Linked DNA regions of Saccharomyces cerevisiae S288C. The protein of the gene in region 2 interacts with the protein of the main gene of each other region in a pairwise test. Each region holds a gene or a part of one and is shown on either strand. Other genes may lie near its edges.

Region 1 (3,112 bases), on a different chromosome or scaffold from region 2:
AACATGAAAAGGGAAAGACAGCAGAAGAAGAAGAAATGAACTTAGGTATTCCACCAATTGAGTTAGAAAAGTGGGACAATGCTAAGGAAGATTGGGAAGATTTCTGCAAAGATTACAAAGAATGGAGAAATAAAAATGGTCTTGAAATAGAAGAGGAAAACCTTTCTAAAGCTTTTGAAAGATTCAAGCAGGAATTTTCTAACGCTGCAAGTGGATCAGGTGAACGTGTGAGAAAAATGAGTTTTAGTGGTTACTCACCAAAGCCTATTTCAAAAAAGGAAGAGTAGATGGCCAAAAACGACAGATGCGTGTGGAAGTCACAGTCTTGTTGTCTTATTTTCCAGTTCCTGTGGGAACTTACTTTCAAATGTTTTTCATACACTTTGACATATTGCAGTAAATTATATATGTAATTTTATATACGCTTTTACCTACACGAATTATTGTCTAACTTTTTTTTTTCTTCATTCCTAACGAGGAAGAGATTCAAGACACTGCAACTAGAAGTCGTCCGGATCAAACAGATCAAGATCAAGATCTAGGGCATCATCATTATTTTCTTCCTTTTCTTTATCTTTGGTATTGTCTGCCTCATCACCAACTTCTTTAGCAGTACCATCAAATATAAACGAGTCTGTCTTTGGTGTACCTTCTTTCTTGGCCATCTGCCCTTTTTGTTCTTCACTTTGAGATGGCGGTACGGTCGGTACTTCTGTTTCTTCTACTTCTTCACCGGGTATTCTAGTTAGCTCTTTACTATGTAATGAGGCCATAGCAAGCATTCCTCTTCGTAGGGCATCCTCTGCGGGCCATATAAAATTGTTGGGTCCCACAGCTCCCTTGTCGAACGTTGGTGGTATTTTGGTAAACTTGGAGAGTTTGGTGGCATAATCCAACAACTCTGTCGAATTGATTTTCGATCTTTGCTGTAAAATTGTGTTTTTCTCGAACTCTACTTGTTCAAGCATCGGTAGTGCTTTTAACTCGTCATGACATTCATTTAGAATTTCCAATATCTTCCTGGTTTTAGAATCTAGTTCTTCAGAGTCTTTGTCAATCTTCTGTAAGTTGCGGTAGATATTGTCATATTCAGCTAACAGTTTGACGTTTTCAAACAAGGCCTCATCAGTTCTGATCAAATCCTTGGCAATATCAAGGTTTGGTTTGAAACGATCTACAGATTCCACCAACTTACTCAATGTATCCTCGTACCGGCACAAATCTTCGTAGAGTTGGACCTTAGATAATTTGTCTTCACTATTCGTGTTTGAAGTAGCCTCTGCTACCAGGGATACAGAGGATGATCTGATGTGACCCATAGAAAACTCTACCGCTTTAGTATCTTGGACAGACATAACATTCGTTGTGTGTACTCTGGAAGTAATTGATACTAGATGCTTTCTCCACCGTTAACAATATACCAGAAAACCTTGTTGAAAACGGGACACGTTATAACTACTTTCCTTCGCGGTATGGTGAGCAGAGAATGCAAAAGTTTATCTTTTTCTCCAGCCTACCTTACGTAGGTGGTAATGCACTATTTTTTCGCATTTCTTTGAAAAGGCTGGCAATACGTCAAAGGCTATGTATGCTATAAGGGAAAGAAAGCTTATACGGAAAATAGCAACTGAATGTACTATGTTACTGTGCATTCGCATTCTATGTTAAAATTCAAAATCCATTGAGATGTATACACAAACATTTAAATAAGACATTTATATAAGCCGGCGCTTCCTGAAGTTCAGCACATGAAAAAATAGTGCTGCTCTTCTACCTTCAACCCAAATTGGTATTGAACCCAGAGCCTTTTTCAGGACTGGTTGCGATACCATCATGCTTCAGTTGCTTTTCAACTTCTTCCTTAAAGCCCTTTTTCCATAAATCATGATTTTCACCAATGACATAAGTAAGCGTCTTCTTCATATAACCTTCAGGACCTAAGAAACCCAACGCTTCTATAACATCTTCCAACAGTATTGTCATTCCGGAGCCTCTCTCCTCGCCTACTCCTGGATGCCTTATATTCACTATATGGACATGAAAATGGTAATATGAAGGTTGATAATGAATGAAAACTCTTAGCTCGTCCGGGTTTACATTATAGTCATAGTGCTGGGGGATGATGGTCTTAATCTTCTTATTGAGTCTAATTAACCAATCTCTATGGTTTGGGTTCAAATCTCTCAAAGATTTGATGTCGTCCCTGTACACGATCGCGACCAGGTATAACGAATCAATGTTGATTCCGTCCCACTTCATATCGGGCAAGATGACGAATCCATCCTCTTTATTCCTGCTACTGTATTCCTTATAAACAACTCTATCATCCTCGGCGCCCTCGTAAAGAATGTTGTTTACCCATTTCATTCTTTCGCTGGTACACATCTCTTGGATAAAGGGCACAACTATGTTTCTATACATATCAGGAGTTTCTCTGACGACATGTAAATCCTGCTGGTCGTATCCCTTGATGTGGAACTGCGAGGCGGGCCAAATTAAGTTAACCTTCGCAGTTGGGTTATGCAAAATATGCTGCTTCAAAACAGACAACCCCCAGTAGTAGATGTCATTCGAAGTTAATTCCTTCAGATCAGTAATACCGTTTAAAAAGGAGTACTCGTCTATTTCACGATGAAAGAAAATCGGAGTGCTACGGCCACTTTGAGAGGGTCTACGTACCGTTTCATCAAATATGAAATGCGTCTTTTCAGCAGTTAACACGGCATCCTTCCCATCTATGCTGCCTAGTAGTGAGATTACCTTTGTATGAGGGTTCGAATCTAACACCCTGACGTATTTAAACCTCCCAATTAAACTAGCTAAATCTTGGGAACCCATCATGTATTTTTTTACTTTTACACGCTCAAATCTTTTCAATTTTGCAATGAAAAGGTACCGACCTAACATATATTTGAAGACCAAACGAAACCCCCGTGCTTCTGTTTCTCTTCTTTCTGCCTTTATACTCATTGGTATTGTCACCCCTTATTTCCCCCCTAGGCGTCTGCGCGGCCGCTGTCATGGGGCTGTCCTTTCGGACTAGCATATAATCACTGACGCTAGCTCTAATCGATCAATAATTAAGTGGAAGTATTTTGTTGAGGTGGGTGAT
Region 2 (2,743 bases):
CTCCGAAACACCTAACACTAACAAAAGGAATACCTGACAGAATACGCTATCAAAAGAACGAATATGACTAGTGCAAGTATTACCAATACTGGAAACGAAACCATGAACCTTCCACAGATGCGGTCGATTTGGCTGGATGAAGATGAAGAAGCTGAAAAACTCTACGGTCTGCAGGCCCAGCAATTCATGGGATCTGATGATGAAGAAAACCTAGGCATTACTTTCATCAACAGCGATAAACCTGTGCTGAGTAACAAGAAAAACATTGAGTTGCCTCCACTTTCACCAAATTCACATCCGTCTTGCCACCACAGGAGAAGTAATTCTAACTCTGCAAAGTCTAAAGAATCATCGTCATCATCGTCCAGCGCCAACAAGACAAATCACAAAAAGGTTTTCCTTAAGCTTAATTTGTTGAAGAAAAAGTTGCTTGGTGCCCAACCGGACATAAGAGGTAAAGGTATCTCCACACCATTTGATTTTCAACATATTTCACATGCTGACACTAGAAATGGATTCCAAGATGAGCAATTGCAGGAACCTTCATCGCTGTCCACAGAGATTAAGGACGACTATACCTCCTCCTCAAGCAAGCGGGATTCGAAATCACTAAATAAAGCTTTTGTCACTGAAAGGATCCCTGCTAATCGTGAAAGCAAACTCATTTCAAGATCGCACGAAAATAAGACATCAAGACTATCAGTCGCGCGTTCGATCTCAGTAACGTCCTCCAATTACTCTAAAAACACACAAGGAAACAATCATTCCATTAATGGGAGAGTCGTATCTACGTCAACTATGGCTACATCTATTTTTGAGTATTCCCCAAACGCATCTCCAAAACAATTTAAAAATAAGTCACACGCTCTGGGTCATAGATACACTAATTCCACGGATTCTAGTGAGTCTTCGCTGGATTTTTTGAAGAACTACAACTTCCCCACACTACTTGAAGATAAGCCTATTTTAGACTTCTTGCCTCGTTCTCAGAGGTCAAGCGCTTATCGTAGCCTTTTAGAGACCCCAAACTCAAATAAGGACTCAGCAAAAGCCTTCTTTCCTTCACGCCAAAGCCCTCTTCCCAAGAGAAGAAACTCTATAGCTACGCCTTCTCCACAATCTAAATTTTCCTACTCTGACTCCCCTGTAAACCATAGAAAATCTTTCGATGATGTTCTTTATTCTTTCAACCAGCTCGAGCCCCTGCAAACTTAAGCTAAGGACAGAAAATGAAAAAAAAAAAAAAAAAAAATTCAAAGAATCAGCTTATAAAACATATTCAAGGACCATCTGAAGTATCATTCATTCGTTTTTTACTCGTTAATCTCATTCATTCGTTTCCTCATTCTTTTTTCTTTGTTCTTTATTTCGGCTATTTTTTCACTATTAAAATAACTAGAGCTAACAATATTATTTCTTCTGCTTTAGTTACAAAACAAGGACATTCATTTAACTTGGCGTTATCCCATACATTCGTTTATTATATCTTCTTTTAAAACACAATTTCTTTTACAGTTAAACTTTTCTGATTTATTATATATTACTTAAGATTGTTCATATAACTAACATTTATATGCTTATATGCGTGAAGTGCGCTTTTGTAGAACATGTGGCTGTTTCTGTAGAAGCCTTGTCTTTCTCTGTAATCCTTTAAAGGCCAACCGTACGTGCTTAATTACAAGCTTTGTTCGCATTGCAAGAAAGTTAGAAAAAAAATCAATTCTGAAAGATAATTATAATTCAAACGGTAAACCATTGGTTAAAAGAGGGACATAACATTTCACTAGTTCAATACATTATATGCTCTTTAACAATGACAGATAGATTAACACAATTGCAGATATGTTTAGACCAAATGACGGAGCAATTCTGTGCTACTTTAAACTACATAGATAAGAACCATGGTTTTGAACGATTGACCGTAAATGAACCTCAGATGTCCGATAAGCATGCCACAGTAGTACCTCCTGAGGAATTTTCTAACACGATAGATGAGCTATCCACGGACATTATACTTAAAACAAGACAGATAAACAAGCTTATTGACTCGTTACCTGGTGTTGACGTTTCAGCTGAAGAGCAATTAAGGAAGATTGATATGTTGCAGAAAAAGCTAGTTGAAGTGGAAGACGAAAAAATTGAGGCCATCAAAAAGAAGGAGAAACTTTTAAGGCACGTTGATTCTTTAATTGAAGATTTTGTAGATGGCATTGCAAACTCAAAAAAGAGCACATAAACTTAAGTTTTACAAAGAAATTTGCGAACAGAGGACAGAAAATGTACTATAGTTATATGGCAGAGTTAAGCGTATGTATGTTATTCTTATAAATAATTGTGCTACTCTATTTGTACCGGAGAATTATTGAAGCAATGGGAGAAAAATCATAATGGAGAAAATCTTTCTACGAGTTACTTTGCAAGGCAATCTAACGATTCTAAAAGACACAATACACTAAAGAAAAAACTTTGGAAGTACAGTTTTTTCCCCAAGTTGAAGTGTGGACTCATTGTGAAGATGTAAAAATGTAAAAACCAACCGACAATGCACTCCCAGCCAAATTCATTGTAGACCTCCCATTTGATAGAAAAGGAAGGTTCAGCAGTTGTCCACGGATTCCAAGATATCATTCTCTTACATTGCACGCACATGAAAATGATCATCGAGAGTAAGGATCCATACCATGCAAAATTAAACCAAACTGGAGAGTCTGTGTCTAACGTAATTGGCCATTTTTCCACGGCG

The links.
Region 1: the proteins of SRB7 (region 2) and MED4 interact in binary tests that used the Saccharomyces cerevisiae proteins (3 or more experiments, as listed by UniProt).

What each region holds. Positions count from the first base shown.
Region 1 is NC_001147.6:656,990-660,101, reverse strand, and holds MED4 (Med4p), read right to left. Parts: upstream 1,356-3,112; coding exon 501-1,355; downstream 1-500. Other genes in the region: ALE1 (lysophospholipid acyltransferase), read left to right, coding at 1-287; DCS2 (5'-(N(7)-methyl 5'-triphosphoguanosine)-(mRNA) diphosphatase), read right to left, coding at 1,777-2,838. UniProt on the Saccharomyces cerevisiae protein: Component of the Mediator complex, a coactivator involved in the regulated transcription of nearly all RNA polymerase II-dependent genes.
Region 2 is NC_001136.10:1,077,520-1,080,262, reverse strand, and holds SRB7 (Srb7p), read left to right. Parts: upstream 1-1,813; coding exon 1,814-2,236; downstream 2,237-2,743. Other genes in the region: GIC2 (Gic2p), read left to right, coding at 64-1,215; PMT7 (putative dolichyl-phosphate-mannose--protein mannosyltransferase), read right to left, coding at 2,410-2,743.